Linked DNA regions of Schizosaccharomyces pombe. Changing the gene in region 2 together with the main gene of any one other region gives a genetic interaction. Each region holds a gene or a part of one and is shown on either strand. Other genes may lie near its edges. The genes, in order: SPOM_SPBPB2B2.14C, bmt2, pet801 and mgr3.

Region 1 (4,395 bases), on a different chromosome or scaffold from region 2:
ATTGTTTTTATTTGATCGCATAGGAACACGCAAAGCTTGCAATTCTAACTTACATGTCAATAAATCCTTAACATAAATAAGTGCAGTGATTTTAGAACAAATAATGCAAATTAAAATTCCCTTAATTTAAATACGAGGCAACCTGGAAGTACTTTAAAACTGTTTAAAAAGTTCCACATATTTTCAGTTTGGTAGCAATTTGTAAATATATCTTACTTTAGATTGCTTTTTTTTGGGAACTTGTAGCTCAATATGAACTTTTATAACATTCTATTGTAAAATGTGTTAATCGTGCTATACTTAACTTTTTTATCAACTTCCATCATAAATCTCATACCGGATACTTAACACTTGCTTAATTGTTAAAGACTTTTATTACAATCAAATATATTTGTTGTGTTTCTGTTAATTTTAAATTATAACAACGGTTTCACAAACATAAAAGCAATAAAATTGTAGCGCTTGCATATTTAATACTGAATAATTATAATGATGTGACAGTAAGTAATGATGAAGCGGCTCAGACATTTTGGGAATCACCTGTAATTAAGTACAGTAGTTAAAAGATGCGAATTCTTGTGTAAATTTTTTTTGTTTTCAATTATATTTCTTCAAATCACATGCATTCTACATCATCGTCAACCCATACTTACTTTTAGCTTAAAATTTATTTTTTTCATAAATAGCTATTGTCTATTCGATTGGGGTTAAGAAATCAAACATTAAAGCTTCGTTTGCATGTCAATTTATTAGACAAATTTACTTTTTCAGGTGAAGGAGATACCGACAAGTAGCGGTATAAATTGTTGAAAAGCTAAGTCTAATGTGTATGTCAATACGTAAACAGAGTTTTTGAAAGACTCTGAATAACTCGATTTTTTGCTGCCAGAATATAATTTGCAATTTAAGAATTTATTGAGCTAATGAATCAATCGATCTAACAATTTCCATATGCTGCATTTTTCAAGTTTTCAGACATAACTTTAAAAACGAGTCATTCATGATGTATCATTAAGAATTCATTTTGTGACGCAGTAAATGACATTCATAGTATTTGATTAGACTTGAAACGAAAGATAAAACATTAGTAACATCAAGTGATAATACTTCATTAAAAACCGTAATTAGGTTGACTCCATAATTGAAATTCATAACAGACGCACCTTTAGTGCATGATTAGGACGGTACAGTCAGTAAAATATTGGTAAGGATGATTATATTCTTTTCGATCATAAAACGATAAAGAAAATTATTTTTTCACAGGAGTGGGCATATTTTGAAATTCTATTTGTTCAATGTCAGAACCAACTGTTGCCTTTGAATGTGATCCTGTTTCTCCATTATGTGTAGGAAGAGTGTCTCCCAATGGCTTAACTTTTATGCCGAAAGCCAAAATTAAAATTTTGTAGATCAGCCAATGGCAGATGTATAAAATTTTAACCATAGCCACCGCGATAATTACTACGACCGCTGCTATAACTATACTGATCAATGGTATAGCTTTTACAACAATCTTGGAGCAGTCTATTTTAAATTATTAGTAAAAAAAAGGCATCACTGTAAAGGAAACATACAAATTAAACCAAGCAACAATAAAACAAACAAACAAATGTAAATAGCAATAGGCCCCCAAATTTCACTGTAAAACCGATTTTCATTTATAAAACTTTCATTTATCCAAATTGAAAGAAAATCTTTGACTTCAAAGTTCTTGTCTATTGCGAAAACAATCAAAATACACCAAATAATAAGCAAGGGCCAACGAAGTTTACTGCGGGTAGAAATCCTACCATCAGGATAACAACTATCATGAAATTTAGAAAATTCAGTAAAAAGGTTATCTAAAAAGAACTTTATTTTATCTGTCTTAATGTTTATTTTATCTTTTTGAGGCTTGATGATGTTGGTAAAGAGATTTTGTTTGTTTACCTTTTCAGGCTTACACAATTCAAGTCCCCACTCCAGGTCCACATTACGAGTATCTCTTACCATAAATAACTCATTGTAACCAGGGGGGGTCAACCTGTTTTTTTGCGCTTTCTGGATTTGACATTGGAATAAAACCACAGCACTGCAATTTGATAGCTTTAGCACCACTAGTAATGTTTTACAATGTAAAATTAAACAGTGTGGTTTATGGAAGATAATAAGAAAATATAATAAAACATTTTAAAGCCATAAACGAAAGAATTAAAAAAAGATCAAAATTGGTGAATGTTTTACGTTCTGAGATGTTTCATTTATTTGGGAAAAACATTATGATGTGAATATCTTGTAATACTTACAAACTTTTTTTATCGCAATTCCTATATAACGAAGTTGGTTTAGTTTGCATTAATATACGGTTCCCTTCAAAGTCTGTAAATAGTGTTAAGGATACCATAAATTGCAATGAAAATCATGTTCTTATGATTTGTGTGTAAATAATTATGTTGGATTGTTCATCATCACGGTTGCAAGTATACAGGATTATTAACGACACATTGATAATGATAATAATGTATGGTAGTACAATCAAACTCGATCTATAGTGTGCTGATTTTATAAAATAATAGTTGAAAACATCGTACGCATACAATAGCTATAAACATGAACAACCTAACTACGTAGCAGCATTATAAAGCATATAGTTAAGTATAGTTGACACGAAAAATCATGTTTAAGGTGTGAGTATTTGCGAAAGTAAATAAAAAGAAATGGAAGACTATAGATTTGTTTGTGTTAAAATTGTAAAAATAAAAATAAAAATAAAAAAAAATCTCGTTGAAAAATTTATATTCGTATGTAATTACAACATCGTTCGCTACCTAAATTTTATTCTCTTGCGAAAAAGTAAAGAATAGGAATCAACGACTAAGTCTATACATCGGACTAACTCTTTTAGATCAATTGTACTGAAAACTTTGGTTCCGCTTAGCCAGTTCATATTTTCTTTAAATTATGGCTCTGGGATTTGGGAACAAAAGAAAACTGAAAATGAAAGGGAAAAAAGCATGAAGCAATGTTACAAATAAATGTATAAGAAGGAATTCCTGTATTAGAAGTTATATTACATTTTCATATAGAAATGATGATTTATGGTCTATTGATGTTTTGATCGTTAGTGCTTCCCATGATAAAAACAAATAAATTGCCATATGTTGAATCCTTCAGATTTTGAGTAAGGCTGAAGATGAAATGTCGCAATAATTCATAACTGTAATACTACATAAAGACTTTGATTATTGAGTTTAACTTTCATACATTTATTGCATTTTTAGCAAATGCAGTAGAACGGGCTTTCAAGAGATACAGAGGAAGAAAAGCGTAAGGGAATTATAAACTGGAATTTGTAAACATCTCTTGGAAATTATATCAATCTTGAATATTGGCTCATCATTAAAAATCATAGTGGAATACTTGGTTGTTATTCGAGTAGTTAGTCAGAAGTTATTGTTTTGATACACATAACCTTACTTGAATAATGTTACAAAAAAGAAAAAATATAATGGAAATAGATGAATCTAAAACAAATTTAATTTTTAAGCGATAAAATTGAAACAAACATTCGTCAACAAACTACTCTAAAATTTCACCTGCTACTAGTTTTACTACGAAAACGTAATATACTAGGGTTTCACAAGGTAAGTCATACATTCTAAATTTCTCCTTCCAGCATTTTGAAAATATCTTCTTTGCTCTAGACTTGGTTAAATACAGATGTAATAATATATGTTAACCACAAACTGCACCTACTTGACATGTGAATGGATGATATCTAAGAGGTGAAATTCAAATCTAAAGTAATGTTATGCAACATCTGTTAATTGTGTTTGTATTTCTTCTTAAAAATAATTACACATTTAACACGAAGCCATGAAAAGCGTTAGAGGTTTCGCCTCTAACTGATTTAAAAAGGAAACCCAAATTTTTTCCCTTCTTAATTTATGTAAAAGTATTGAGAAATACCTAGTTATAAAGATGAAATTTCGAATATTTCAAATTTCATATAAAGAAAGATTTCTTTACAAGAAATGAATGAGTTTTAAGAATATATTCACAACAAAGCATTTGATAAAATTGATTTATTAAGTATGCATTGAAACATTCTAATGAGATTTTTTAAAGGAAACTGCAAAAAAATAGAGCGGTATATATGCAACTCGTTAAAGACGAGTAGTATAAGAATTGCTTCGCTTTCTTCAAAGACTAAATATGGAAAAAGAGTGGGGGATTACTATATTAACAAGTTTTCAGAACAGAAACAGAAACAATTACAACTATCTACAACCGAGAATCTCTTTAATTAATGTTTTCCAGTTCAGTCTGGTTGAAGATTCGTTTTTTGGCTTCTAAGTTAAAATCCAAGTAAATAACTGACGGGTATTTTATTTTAGAATAAATCGATAGGAATCC
Region 2 (4,886 bases):
CAACGCAACTCATTGTAGCAGCAGCAGTACCAATTAATCCGACATTAACAAATACTATGGGTAAAGCTATTATAAATTAGCATAAAGGTCTCATTCAGTTATAAATACATACCAAACCCGGTACAGATGGTTGCACCGAATGTAAATCGACCAAAGTCAAGAAGATTTCTTTAGTAAACGTTAGTAGAGCTCCTTACAAATAATAATGAAAAATAACAATTATGGTTGAAATAATTTCCCCAGAACAACCAACATTATTATATTTCCATACCTGTCTTCCTCTTGTAAAAAGTCATGGCTTGTCGAGTATTTTTTCGTAAGGAGATTAGGAAGAGGAGCTAAAATGAATGGAATGACTATTCATTAGTAATTCGTAAGCAATGTAAATGAAATAGTTCTCAACGGTTGACAAAATCATACCAATTAGCAGTGGATACCAATTCTTGAATAAAGCACAAGACAGGATCACCAGCATAAATCCTACTGCCAGGACCTTAATAATATAAGTTAGACTCGTTTAAAATGGAATTGATGTCTAGCTCGAGTAGGAGTCATTGAGCGATGCATACCGAAGAAAGACCGATAATTCTAATTGGTGACAAACGTTAACCTTTGCTTTTTCATATTAACAAAAATTACTTACTTCCTGAGGTCGGACATATTTAATTACTATCGTTCACGAATATATACTGCAAGCTAAAGTTTACTGCTTTTGAGAAGAGAGACTTCGATGATTACCAGCTACTTCACCTAAAAAGGGTACGCTCCATTACGTTATACAGATGTGTTCTGTATGCATAGAACACAGAGCGGTGCACAAGATTTGTAAACTTGGCAAATAAGTTTAAAAAGACATATAACGAAAATGACTTGTTACTATTTTTTACACCAATGATCGAGCTTTCGGCTCATTAGTAAAGTATCGCATACGAACAAACTCTGAAAAACGTACTTTGTAGCTACGTAAGTAAAGGCTAGTAATTGACATTAACAATACAATTAAAAAAAAGCAAGAGGATAACCGACAAAAAGCATTCATTTCATTAATTTAACTTTGAGATACTAGTAAAATAAATTTTGTATTGACAAATATCTTAATTAGAGTATACAGGGAATGAAGAAATTATTCCTAGTTGCCCCATCATTAACGATCTTCTTTTTCCAGTCTATTTCTTTCATAGGAAAACACTCGTAAGAATATAAATAGTAGGCTATTTTTTTCGATATAGACTTTTGACGACAGATAAATCCAAACTGTATCATAATTGAGTGTAATGTTTTTTCATCCATGTACCGAGAATTTGTTATGCAAGGCGAAGGCAAAACCAAAAATAACCAAGGAGGCTGTTCTTTATTAGGAGGCATTAACAATCCTGTACAATGTAATAACATTTTAGCTCGGAGTTCTGGAGGTGCAAAATTCAGCACAAGTGAACAACTTATCCCAGTAAAAAGTCCTTCTTCAGGAGTTCTTTCAAGAAAGTCCTGTTGTTTAATCAAGGGATGAACAGAATGCAAATCAATCCTTGAAACTCGGAAAAGTCCACAAGTTGAACATTTGTTGTCAACAGAAACACTGCCAATTTCCAACAAATCTTTCGGCTCCTTAAGACGTGCGCAATACGAAAAACAGGGAGTTGTCCGAATCCATTTTATCAATATTTTACTTGAATCCCCTCCTTTTCCTTCCGCTTGACCGGATCGACTAGCTCGTTGGTAAGCATCAATACCTATATTTTCGAGTTCACTTTCCACATTTTTTATTTTTTCAATCGGAGCACTTGACGCAATAAGTCGAGATTTCTCTTTTAACAGGTTATGATAATGACGAATAAGCTTATTCCCCTTCAGTCCCTTTGCATTATCAATGTTGTTTTTTCCAATGCGATTCTTCACTGGAATGGGACGCATTCAAATAGTGATAAAATATTTGTTAATCTCCCAGATGAAAATATAATTGTATTTACAGTAAATGGTTCATAAATGTAGTTTCCTAATTACTTGAAAAGTTTTTACGATGAAAGAAGTAGTGTCGCGTTACTTATAAAAATTCAGCACAAGAAGAGCTTGGACAATGTATGATAAATTCTTAATATGTAATTAAAGAGCGGTAATTTATGCAACCCTTTAACCATTACACAGAATATTAAACGGGTTTCCTTTTTTTATACGGTTTGTACTTTACAAGCACAAATCAACTTTTTTTATATTTGAAACAAAAATTTAAAGGCTTTGGGCTTCGAGGGGGATCGAACCCCTGACCACTTCGACCCAAACGAAGTATGCTACCACTACACCACGAAGCCTCAGTTGATATTGTGCTTTGAAAACTGTATATATAGTTATTAGATTTACTTGATTATTAACTAAACTTTTTCAATTGTTTTTAAAAAATAATCAAAATAAAGAAAACAACCGCCAAATATGGTAGAACTATAACATAAAAAAATTCGGATAAATAAACAGCCAATATCAACTTCTCTCTTAAATTGTTTTAAATGATTCCACTCATCAGTTACGTTACGATATAATTGATATAAGTTATTTTTAAAAGAAAGTAATAAATGTGTATAAATATGTATATACGACAGCTATTGAAAAGTATTTTGGTAAATTCTAAACTAACGATTTATATCTAGTGGAATTGGATAAGGGACTTTATTTATTATTTCTTAAATAAAATACATTTTAAAAAATAAAAAAAAATAAAAAAAGAAAAGAAAAGAATTTGGTGTACTACGGATTACCTTAAGTTTTTAAGTTAAACGGGTGAAGTGTAAGTATTTATGATATGAAAACCATAGAAACATTTTTGTATTTTTACTACTTACAGACGAATTCTAATTGTTTCACCAGACTATATACTATTAAAACAAATAAGTGCTTCAAAAATAATTATTGTAGATTAAATTTTCTTGATAACTCAAACTTGAGTAAATTAATTTTTTAGAGTATATGTTAAAAAAATAAATACTTTTAGTTTAATTAAACGTACAAAAAGTGTTAACAAACATTATGTACCTGTAAACAAAATGTAATAATTAAATATAAATAATATTTGTAACTGCGGCTGCTATCGCATTGGATGGGGGACTGATTGTTGTACATTTCAGCTAAACTTATTTTTACAAGTTACTTTATTTACTGACACAATAAATTGCGTGTTTTTTTTGGATTACTATAGAAAAAACACATACGTTAGCACTGGAATATTATTATTTAGCTATAAAAGTCGCAAGAGACAAGTATGACAATTTAAAGACAAAGTATAAAATGCATATTACCTAAATTCTTCAGCATTTGAGCTATACTGCATGGCATCAAGATTAAACAATTTAAAAGTTAGCCGTCATTGTAGAAAATATAACTACAGAAATTCTATTATCCCTGAAAATCCAGAGCATCACCAAATTTTATTATGTATCTTCTATTTACTTATAGGTAAAAACAAAACATTTACAGCGTTACAACTTTCCAAATAGTGAGGCGCAGTGAAGCCGTTTCCAAGTATTACAGAGTTTACGCAAGCATTCAGTATATTGGCACAAATGAGACGTAACGGAATGTTAGTGATACAACATCCCGTAACAAAACTTTGTTGGTAAAATCCAACCATTGCATAACGACTTTAGCCTTTTAAAAAGCTTTTTGTGTTTGTAGTCCTTTACTGGTAGTCGTTACGAAAGTATCTAGTCACTGTGGTACTTAACATTGAATTTTCATATAGCTACAGCACCTCGCTTTCTTTCACATTTCGAGTATTAGTCCTACGTCTTTCCTATACTTATGTTATTAAGTCGTTTTTAAGGGGAAGCTAGGTTTTGTATTTAATTTAAAAATTTTATATAGAAGTGGAATATGAGTTCGTTGGAAATCATTGTCGACAAAATTTTAAAATTCCTGGAAAAGCAGCCAAAACCTGAAGGTCGTCCTTTTATTCTTGGAATTTCCGGCCCTCAAGGATCTGGTAAAAGCACACTGGCAAGTGCTTTAGATACCGAATTAACAAGGAAGAACGAATCAGTTGTGAAGTTCTCACTTGACGACTTTTACCTCACGCACGCAGAACAAGTTGAATTGGCCAAAAATAATCCCAATAATCCTCTTGTTCAACATCGTGGTTTAGCTGGAACCCATGATGTCACATTTTTAAATAATGTTTTAAATGCATTTGTTAAGGGAAGCGATGAGGAGGTATCTATCCCTTTTTACGATAAATCCAAGTTTGGTGGCTACGGAGATAGGGGAGATGAATCCCAATGGAAAAAGGCAAATCCTAAAACAACTACCTATGTAATTTTTGAAGGATGGATGGTTGGGTTTGAGCCGCTCGATTCTTGCATGCTGTCTGTCCGAGCACGATCAACACGTTGGCAAAATATTGAAGGAAGTTTACTGTGGGTAAACAGAAAGCTTGCAGATTATCAGCCTATCTTTCAAAAAATTGACTCTTTGGTGGAACTAGAGGCACAAGAGATAAACTATGTTTACAGATGGAGACTGCAGCAAGAGCATGCTTTGAAAGCTCGGATCCACAAGGGTATGAGTGATGAAGAAGTCATTGAATTTGTTAATCATTATATGCCCCAATATGTCTTTTATCTTGGTACCTTATCTAATAAAGTACATCTGAATCCACACTGTTTGGAAATCATACTTGATGAGAACCGATATCCTGTTGTTATGCATTGATGTATTTGTCTAAGATTTAAATCCCATGATTGTATAGCGTTCCTGTACTTTGGAATACTTTTTACGCTCCCCCCTTTCCTTGAACAAAGTTTTTACCTCTACTTTTTCTTTAATTCCAACTTTCTTTTGAAGTAACCCATCAAGGTTTGACCGACAAAAGCTTTTTATGATATTGTTGTATGCTTTTTCTAGCA
Region 3 (5,086 bases), 4.2 Mb from region 2:
ATTGATTAGAGTTATTTTGGAAATTATTTAGCGTAGAGTATTGAGAATTTTGAAAAGAAGAGACTCTGTTGTTAGTAGTGTTTTGCTTGTAGTTTACGCCATTAAGAGGTCCTTCAGAAACGACCCGCCTTGTTTGTTTTGGGGAAGGAGGATGGTGCAGCTGAAAAACTTCCCTAGCTTCAAGAGATAAATGTTCAACTGCATGATAGATTTCAAAAACATAACCCCTCGGTGCTACGACAGCCGATATAGAAGCAAAAAATTGGACATGTTCCTGATAATCTCCACTGAGTTTAGGAAGCAAAATTTGTACAATCGAGAAAAAAACAGACAACATTTTTAGCTTCATTTGAGAGAATTCAGAGAAAATATTTTTTAATTTTTCATTACACTCTTTTGGTGAGAAAGAATAAGCATCGTAATCGATTTGTTGAAGTCGTTTACAGAACTGCTCTTCAATTATATAACCAGCTTTCTCCGGGATTCGATCCTTTACATAAAATAAAAATGATCCAAATAGTATTTTGGATGGAACAGATTCTAATGAAAGCGATTGATAAGGATTTTCTGCAATCGACGTACTGAGACAAACCATTTCCTTTTCCTCGTCTTTAGAAAAATTTGCTAGAACATCTTCAATACTGTCTTTAATTGAGAAAGCCGCTTCATAACGTTTTAAACCAAAAACCAAATCATCGTAAACAGCGTCTTGGGGGGATTGCTTTCGTAAACTTTCTTGAATAGGCGGATTAGGCAATGGTTTTTCCATTTAAATATATCAGAAAAGTAAATTTCAATCGGTATGGAACACCCAATCAACAAATAGTAGATAAGCGTTTCAAGGAAATCTTCACTTTAGAATTGCGTTGTAGAAGTTTGAAACCAAAATTCGTCTAGTTGCTTAAACAGAAGTATTTACGAATAGAGAAAAAATTTGAGATTGGATGGATGTCTCACCATAAATTGCTAAGTATTTTAACTAAATAAAGTTTCCAAATCATGAAGAATTTGTTAGACACCAATAAAACATTTATTGAGCGTTCGTGGATATGTTTGATCTTATATGGAGCACTATGTATAAACACAACTCTAGTTAGTTTGAAACTTCATTGTTTCATCATTTATTGATTCCAAATACATCGAGCATACAGTAATGTCAAGATGTGTTCATTTTTATAGCTCAGCAATTCTACAATAGCACTTCATTAATGCTAAACACAATTTTTTCTTCCATTATAGTACACCGTTATAATATTTGATCAAGTGGATAATTCAGTAGAAAATGATTTAATTTTTTTTGCAACTGATATTTTATAGTAAGGAATCCTTCCAAAAAATGTTGAAATTAAAGATATTCTTTCTATAAAACGCGGCTTAGCCAAAGGAATGTATTTTCTATCTTTTATTTTTGTATGCAACCAAAAAGTACTAAAAACTAAATTATGACTAGTTTTTTCAATCACAATCCTTCGGCTTTCATAAAATTCAATATGACATCGTAGCAGCCTAAGAAAATAGCACCTCCTCCACTTAACCATAAGACTCGAGGAACTATACCTTTGTAAAGAGCAAGAAAGCCTTCATGGGCAACTATCGATTTAATTGTAAACACATAAGAAAGTCGCTAAACAAATTAGTATCAAAAGTGTATATCAAGGTAGTGATTCACGCGCAAAATTCTTTAGTTTAATCAAAAAATCAAACACATACCTGCTGAGATGTCATAATTCTCGTTTTAACAACATCAAATGGAGTTGTTAAAGCAGCGGCTATTCCACCTGCAATGGAGCCCGAGATAGCTGCTTCATGAGCTAAATTCTTATTTCGAGAATGTTTAATTCTCCATTTCAGTTTCAGGTGCTCCCAAATTGGGAATTGGATTAGTGTGAAAGGGATTTCCCTTGCAATAGTGATTCCATAACCAGCATAAAAATCGCGCCAGACATTGTTAGATTTTAAAATCGTTTGCAAAATATTTCTAGATGATAATGTTCCACCAGAAGCTTGTGCTCTTTGCTTAATTACTTCTGTAGGGACTCGAACTATACAAGCCGCAATTTCACCTAGAGAAGCTGAACACATATGAATTTGGGGATCTGATAGTCCAAGGCCAGACTGGGATAATCTGGATTTCATGTTTTCATAAGTAGTAAAAAATAAAGAGGCTAGTAGCGTTAGTGAGTTAGTTTATTATACACTTTGTGAACTTTGTAATATATTATAAGAGGTAATTTAATAAGTGTCTATCGTTTGTTAAGACCAGAGAAAGAAACCATACATTTAGATTACTTTCTTTCTTTTTTTTCATACCTCCTGGGGCACTGCCAACTAGTATACTGCCTAATCCCCGATATACACCATGAAACCCTCCATTTTTTACAAATCCTCCTTTTGCTTGTAGTCTAGTTTTAAGTGTATCAATAGGAAACAAGGATAGATCAACTGCCAATCCAGCACAGATTCCTGCCTAGAAATTTTTGATTAGTCCTCATTATAGTTATTTATGTTTGTTTTGTTTCTTACACCCAGAGCTTCAAAAAATGACATTGCTGAATGGCGCTTTGAGGGAGTGAAATGACACGTTCTAAGAAGTTGGTGTCGGTTCTTACCATGAAAAATATGAATTCTACCAAATTGACATACTTTGTTGTATATAATTAATTTGCTAAATACATCCCAGTACAAGCATATATTCCAATACATAATTTCTTTGATTCTACATTGCACATTCACCATCAAGTATAAAAAGGAAAACGAATTACTAAAAACATAGTTAAAAATCATCTGATGTTTGATTTGAATTTATAGCGATAAATACTCTTTTATATGTTGCATGAATTCAATATTTTGATAGTACAATTACAATAATAGCTATTGTTGTTTAAAAGTCACCAAAGGTTTAGTGGATTCTTTCCTTATGTAATGACTTTTCTGTGTTGCATGAATGTTTATATGATTAGAAAAACTCAAAATCAATGGATACTATCAAATTGAAAGAATTCTATAACAGTCTTGTTAGTATACGACGAAGGGTTGGTCACAGGCGGCTTGGTATGAACACTTTGTATTGTATCATAATTAAGACTAATAAGTTAGGGATAGCTGTGTCTGGGGGAGTGGACAGCATGCTACTTTCTTGGTTCATGAAGGAATCGCAAATTATGTTTGGATGGCCTAATCAATTTATTGCCTTTGTGGTTGATCATCGAATTCGTAAGAATAGCACTGAAGAGGCTTTACAAACAATCTGGAATTTGAATCGTATGTTAATACCAAATGTTTATCTCAACATCAATTGGGGTAATGATGATGTTCACTCTTTAACAAACCTTGAGACAATAGCTCGAGAGCATCGATATCAAGTTTTGACTAGAGCTTGTATTACACACAATATCAGGCATATTTGCACAGCACATCATGCCAATGATCAAGCAGAAACCATATTTATGAGATTGCTAAGACGTAAACCCGGAACATGGGGTGGATTGTGTGCAATGAAACCAGTATCGCAGATACCAGAATCTGACTCAATTTGTGGGGCTTCAAATATAGAACTGTTACGCCCATTACTTCCATATTATAAGGTAATATAAATTAAATTCGCATTGTGGATTAAACTTTTATGCTAACCTATGAATTGAAGAACCAAATATTAAATACCGCAAAACAACATGGAATTGCTTGGGAAGAGGATCCAACAAATGCTGATATAAATCTCACCCCTCGAAATGCAATACGAAGATTTCTAAACCAACATGCCGCATTGACCGTAGAGGCTACAAAACTAGCTACCGCGTTTCAGTCCTTACAGGTGAACATAGATAATAAAGTTGATGAAATACTAAAAGATAATATTGTGAGCTACCATCAGCCATCTGGTACATTATCTTTATGCTTTTCAAAAAATGAGCTCAAAAAGCACTCTAATCTTACTAAGGAAGAATTGCTCTTAAGGTGTCTAACATTGACTACAAGTTGCAGACAGATTAAACGATCTTCTGTTGTAAGCCTTTGTAATTCAGTTTTTGATGGAAAAAAGCTAACAATTGCTAAATGTCTACTCACTTCCTCTTCTATAAAGGACGACACTAAATTACAACTCCAAATTTCCAGACAACCATTTAGTAAAGCTGAATTGAAAAAAAAAACTATAACCATAAATCCTGATCGTTATGTTTTATGGGATCACAGGTTTTGGATAAAGTACAGTTGCAAAAATACACAGACTACACTTATACTTAGACCGTTGCTTTCCAAAGATCTAAATTCATTGAAGGGATTTTTGAGTAAGGAAGAGTTTCTTAAATTTTGTATACAAGTTCCGGGCCATATCAGGTTTACTATTCCAGTCTTGTCGGAAGAAAACGATAAGTTAGTTGGAATACCTACTTTTGGGTTTAATTTTAGAAGTGATATTATCTCAAACTGTCTACACAAGTTCAAGCTTTAATTGCTGCTTGAACCATGAAATCAATGTTAATTAGAGATACAAGATTTGTGATTTAATAATGCCTCATTATTTATTTATATTATCACAAAGTCAGAGGTGAAAGTCAGATGCTCAGAGCATATTCTGGTGATAAATAGCACGACTGATGCTTACACACAAAAAGTAATACGCCCTTAAATTACTGGTGACGAGCGGTAAAAAAATGATGAAGAACTTGTATTATTGATCGTAAAAAAATAATTTCCTAAAACTTATAAGAGTTTAAGAAAAGAGCGTGTGAGTTGCTCTTGTAAAGTTTTAGAAAGTAAACGACTAGTAATTATTAGTCGTATATCGAGCGACAATGTATATGTATTTAGGAAGAAGGAAAAGGAAACAGCTTGAATCACCGTCTTAAAAAATATCGTCGCAAAAAAATTTCCAAAATTTATAAACACATATAAGTGTTTCAAGTATTTCTCATACGGATGCCACTAACGTTTTCCCAATTAATTTTCTGGCGAGTGACTGGAAGTTGACGACGCAATTCTTTAAACTTTTTGTCATTAAGTGAAGAAAGTTCAACGTTGAAGGACTGTTGAATTCCATTTTCGACTTGAGCCAACACTTCATAAAGCTTACTGGTCTCCTCGACTG
Region 4 (5,154 bases), 1.2 Mb from region 2:
TCCGGGAATGTATCAAGTTTTTTAAGGAGATCTGATATCAATTTTTCATAGCAATCAATGTTTTCTTTCAAAAATTCGTAATAATTGTCATCACGCTGACAAAACGCTATCAATCTTTTACTTTTTACAAAACAACGAAATTCAGTTGACGCATGCATTGGAAACCATTCCTTTAAAACAAGTTCGAAAGAAAAATCTTTAGGTACTGAACCATCTGCATTATCGAAATCTTTGCAATCATCAAAAGCATGATTAAGATCATGGGCAACAAAGTCGGACGACTTCAGTAATAATAATACCTCTTCAGCTGTCGTGCATTTTAAAGAGCCTGTTGTAGTAATCCATAGAGCATCTTTAGGAGTTGACCAATTTAGCTTTGGAACTACTGCTCCACCTAGCTCTTTAATTGCTTTTTCAATTAATTGGATAGCTTCTCTCTCGGGATAATAGGCTGGCGCAGATTCCTCGTCTTCCTCACTATCAACCTCCTCTACAGTATTCATAGGCTGTTCAACATATATACTATCTTCATGCAAATACTTAAGTACTGTAGCTGGGATGGGCTTGATTACTTTAGCTTTAGGTGTCAATTTGCGAAACAAACTGTACCAGCTAGAAAACTGGCAATGAAGTACTTGATTCTTAGTAAGTATTAGAGTCATTTTCCGTATTCATCTATGGCACTGAAGTTAATATTTTGGTGTCCCCATAAAATATGCTTATATGTTGTGAATGAACAACCAAGCGCCAAGTGCACAAATAAACTAGTATCTAGAAAAATTTGAGTGGTAAACATTTTGGAGACACATATTTTCCATTTTTACTATAAATTATAATGAATTAAAATGATAACCAGAGCTTTGTAAATTCAGAAGTTGTAAAAAAAGTATTATGACAAACACCGACAAATAACGTGCAACCATTAATTGAAGAATTTACATAAGTGACTTACAAAAGTTTTAGCAAAAATTATGAAATTGAGAATACACAAATCATCCTAGTCTGTGGTTTTTCGGTTTAAGATAGTAGCAATGGCCGCATTGATTACATGTCTTATTTCCAAAGCCATTTGAAAAAAGCATGTTTAGATTTATCCACGATAATAAGATTTTTCTCTACATTCATGCTTGTACGTAAATTTAGTAAATATGTTTCGTAGACATACGATTACATTTAAGACTAATTTAGTAAATATTCAAAAAAAGTACGTAGCTAATCAGTAGGAGAGGAGGATTTATCCAATTTTTTAATGAAAGCATCTTTATCAAGACGATCAATAGCTATATGTGAAAGCATTGAACCATCATTGTATGGATCGTCTTTCCTCAATGCTTCAGAATTTTTATAATGCTTAAGAGCCAAATCGATGTTTCCTTGGCGCTCAGCGATTTGACCCAAAGTGTAGAAAGCAGCCGCACAACCAGCATGACACTCTTGATTACGATCCTTAGGGTAGGCGAAGTAGTAGGAGTCAACTGCCTTTTGAGACCAGGACTGTGATTGCTTCATAAGCGTTTCGTGATGTTTTTTGTCGACCGTTTCAGTCTGAGCTAAAAGACTGGTAGCCAAATTATTCATTAATATCAATCCGTGGCAGGAAGGATTTGCCATAGTAAGATTCAATGCTTCATGATAAAGCGGAACTGCATAAGATGGAGTTCCGGCTTGAAAATACAGAGTAGCCGATTGTTCAAATAGCCTACTCTTTTGCTCATCATCACCATTAAATTGTTTTGATAACAATGCTTTTACTATGAGGTCTGCTGCTTTGGTGGCATCCTTTTGTAAGCCAAGCGGTTCTGATAATTCGATTAGCTTGCTTGCAATCAAAACTCTTTGCTCAAGAAAGTCAGGAAGCTTTGAAGTCCTTTCTAGAATATCCCAGTACATAGACCAGGCTTTGTGCAACGCTCCTGCAGATGCTAACAAATTCGCCATTTGCAAACGGATTCCTTGAACCGGAGGAGATTCCATATCCATTTTCTCACTCTCGGCTTGTTTAATGGCAGACTGGTAAGCCTTCCAGGCGTCCTGAAAGTCGTGATTATTTTCTCCCTTCTGTCGATATAATGCTTCATGTAAATACTTAGCCACGGACCTGGGATAATTTTCATCAATTGGAGAAGGTTTGGCAAAATAAACAGCAGCGACTCCTAAAACCGCGCAGCCCAGCAGGGTTGCCGGCAATGGTCTTCGCCAAAATGGCTTATGGTATTGAGATGAGCGACGTATAAAGACGTTTTGCAAAGAGCGTCTACTTTTCCAAATCCATTGCATACGCATACTTTTTTTTAATCGTATACAAACAAATTAACTAATACTATAATTTCCGATATTAGTAGTTTATGTCAACATAGAAAGCATGGAAGGGTCAAACCACTAATGTTTAGCCTCACTAAATCTTTGGAGCAAAATATAATGAGCGGTGTTAGTTACTTTTGTATACCAGCGATACCTATCTTGGATAATAATAAACATTATATGTCAAATTGCAAAAAACAATGACACCACCGACTTATTTTATTAGTGTCTTTTATGGTAGTAGTAGTAAAAGATTCCATGCTCCTTAAACTGTTGTTTACAAATGCACTTAGTATCACTGCTGAATGAACACAATATATTGTTGTTAAATTAGTTCATAACTACGAATTAAAATACGATCTTAACAGCAATTGAATCTAATTACACACAAACGAAACGTTAAAAGATATTTACTATTAAAACAAAGACAAAATATATATGAAACGAAGGAAAAACCAACGATTTATGCAGCATTAAGAAACTTAAGAGTATTTTTTTAAGGGACTTTCTCTTCCTTTTTTTTTAATTCTTTTGTTACATAAGACTTCACCATAATTTAGGACATGAACTCCAAGTAGAGTTTTCACGAGATTCCCAATAATTATTTTCCTTTTTTAATTGCCAAATTGGACCTGACCCATCTTCATCTTCGTCATCACCAGCAACAGATGGAACAAACCATCTAGGTTCCCATTTTATATCTTTCTCCTCCATTTCTTTCCTTCTTTCGCGTTGTTTTTGCTCCAGTTCCAATTTTAAAGGTTCTGCGTGATCGAGATCGTTGTTTTCTCTATAACGTTGATCAGGACGCAAACGGGTATCGGTTGGAGGCAATTTATCCTTTTCCAAATCTGTAATCTCATTCATTTGAGCAGCAAAAACAGTCATTCCGCAATGATCTTCAGGCTTGTCGACCAAAGGACCAACTTCCCAGATACGCTCGATTACATTGCCTTCATCTGTATTTACAAAATCGAGATGTGAGGTCCATTTCCCTTGCAAGCATTTAGGATCTTCTTCACCATTGGATCGTATAACTGTTACTAAAACATCTTCTGAACGTCCAGAAAACATACCTCCACTCTTGAAACGTATCACTGCCTTATCGCCTGTTGTCTCATCAACGATTTCCATATGATCGTAAGGCTCCACATATTTCTCACCGATCGCAACGTTTTTGAGGAAACAGGCTGGCTTCATAAAGCTGAATTCAGTACCACAAGCAAGCTTAATGGTGACTGGACCAAGAGTATTTAATTCAACAGACTTTCCCCAAAATTTTTGTATGGGTTTAGGCGAGTGGTTCCAAATCCAATTTCGACTTTCAGCATGACAAGCAATAATTAAAGGTCGATGACAGACTTTTTCAGCTAGAAAACGATAATTTCTGTCTTCCCGCACCAACTCAAAAGTTTCACCTAACAAGGGACTGAAAACCTTTCGAACACTTCTTTCTTTATGTCTCATATTGGAAAAATTTGAAACGGCAAAAGCAGCAACGTAAAATATTTTTATATCATCATCGCATTCATTAGCTTTGTCTAGCATGTTAGAGTATTCAAGATCTTCAGCACACCGTTGCAGTAAATTACAAGGCTCATTAGAAACAACGGGTGCAGGAATAGAACTGATATCTTTTCCAATGTTTTTTCGTAAAATTGATAGTATGCTTGGCGGTGGAACAGTAATAGCTGGTATATTCTTTCTTCTTCCAACTTTGGAATGCGGTAAAGGGTAAAGAGAGTTGGAATCGGAGGGTTTAGGGGTGAGAGGCTTAGGGATAGAAATAACGGCCCCGTCGGCGATGTTTTTAGAAACAGAAGGCTTTTGAACCTCTTCATCGCTTTTAGCATTGGCAAAACTGGAATCATCCGGTGATGAAGAATCCATTAAATCATGGAATGGCTGTTTTCTTTTGATATCGTTTTCTTTATTGCTTTCAACTTCGGGAAGAGGCGGTGACCGAGAAGACTCATCTACTGTTGAGGCGAGAGAAGTTGCATTCAACTGTTCATGTGGAGCTGAAGAGTTGGATGATGTATCGGAAATAGAAGAAGTGTCAGAATCACGATCTGCATCAAGGGAAGTGCTATTAGAAGAAGTTTTCATTATTGGAATATCGGAATCAGAGATGTCCTCCACCTTTTCATTATGAGCAACACTTGATTTAGTAGCATCAGCTGCGTGAGCACCCGACTCAGAATAGTGATTCAATTGAGAAGTTGTGCTTTCATAATCTTCAGCGTCGTACCAATGTTGCTCAAAATTGGAATCCATAGACATGCGTGACGAAGGAGAAGATTGCGCCGTACGTTCTTTAGTATATTCATGGTGTTGAATAAAGCATTCCAGTTCATGCAACAAAGACCCGAGTTGACGAGTAACCTTGCGTAAAGTAACCGCAGCTTGCGCGTTTTCAGCAGCAGTAATTTCCACTGAAGTACGGGTTTCCTTGTTTTCTTTGGCATCACCGGGAAGTTGTATACGGATCTCAGGGACAGAAAAATTATGACTTGAAGCCGATTTGATACGACTGGTGCGATACAATTGAGCAATATCCAGGCATTCACGTAGTCTTGAGTAAATAGAGACTAACTGATTGGATGACGATTCTTGTGTCCTTTCGTCTACTACGAGCTTTGAAGAAGTTTGACTATTTTTCGCCTTTTCCAAAGCATTGCACCAACGTAGCCAATCTTGGTGAGTATGTGCTCGTAGGTTCCACAGTTCTACGCCTGAATCAACGTTGATCTCATGCGTCTCTGCAGCAACGCTAATCACAGCAATGCTCAAGGGAATTTTACCGCGCATTACCGAAGAATTTTCGTTAGCATAGTATGAGATCGTGCCTTC

The links.
Region 1: mutations in bmt2 (region 2) and SPOM_SPBPB2B2.14C together harm fitness more than expected from each alone (negative genetic interaction), as found in Schizosaccharomyces pombe (one large-scale study listed by BioGRID).
Region 3: mutations in bmt2 (region 2) and pet801 together harm fitness more than expected from each alone (negative genetic interaction), as found in Schizosaccharomyces pombe (one large-scale study listed by BioGRID).
Region 4: mutations in bmt2 (region 2) and mgr3 together harm fitness more than expected from each alone (negative genetic interaction), as found in Schizosaccharomyces pombe (one large-scale study listed by BioGRID).

What each region holds. Positions count from the first base shown.
Region 1 is NC_003423.3:4,491,331-4,495,725, forward strand, and holds SPOM_SPBPB2B2.14C (uncharacterized protein), read right to left. Parts: upstream 1,993-4,395; coding exon 1,575-1,992; intron 1,525-1,574; coding exon 1,250-1,524; downstream 1-1,249.
Region 2 is NC_003424.3:362,575-367,460, reverse strand, and holds bmt2 (rRNA (adenine) methyltransferase Bmt2), read right to left. Parts: upstream 2,017-4,886; 5' UTR 1,912-2,016; coding exon 1,099-1,911; 3' UTR 1,019-1,098; downstream 1-1,018. Other genes in the region: protein Vps55, read right to left, coding at 1-66, 113-168, 272-356, 421-493, 570-588, 644-660; mug58 (glycerate kinase), read left to right, coding at 3,859-4,692.
Region 3 is NC_003424.3:4,585,948-4,591,033, reverse strand, and holds pet801 (putative S-adenosylmethionine transporter), read right to left. Parts: upstream 2,565-5,086; 5' UTR 2,548-2,564; coding exon 2,524-2,547; intron 2,468-2,523; coding exon 2,311-2,467; intron 2,166-2,310; coding exon 1,711-2,165; intron 1,625-1,710; coding exon 1,460-1,624; 3' UTR 1,241-1,459; downstream 1-1,240. Other genes in the region: protein Nod1, read right to left, coding at 1-769; til1 (tRNA(Ile)-lysidine synthetase family protein), read left to right, coding at 2,976-3,051, 3,097-3,584, 3,644-4,450; acp1 (F-actin-capping protein alpha subunit), read right to left, coding at 4,899-5,086.
Region 4 is NC_003424.3:1,608,693-1,613,846, reverse strand, and holds mgr3 (TPR repeat-containing protein), read right to left. Parts: upstream 2,351-5,154; 5' UTR 2,284-2,350; coding exon 1,213-2,283; 3' UTR 1,143-1,212; downstream 1-1,142. Other genes in the region: cdc123 (translation initiation factor eIF2 assembly protein), read right to left, coding at 1-662; sterol transfer protein Osh3, read right to left, coding at 2,848-5,154.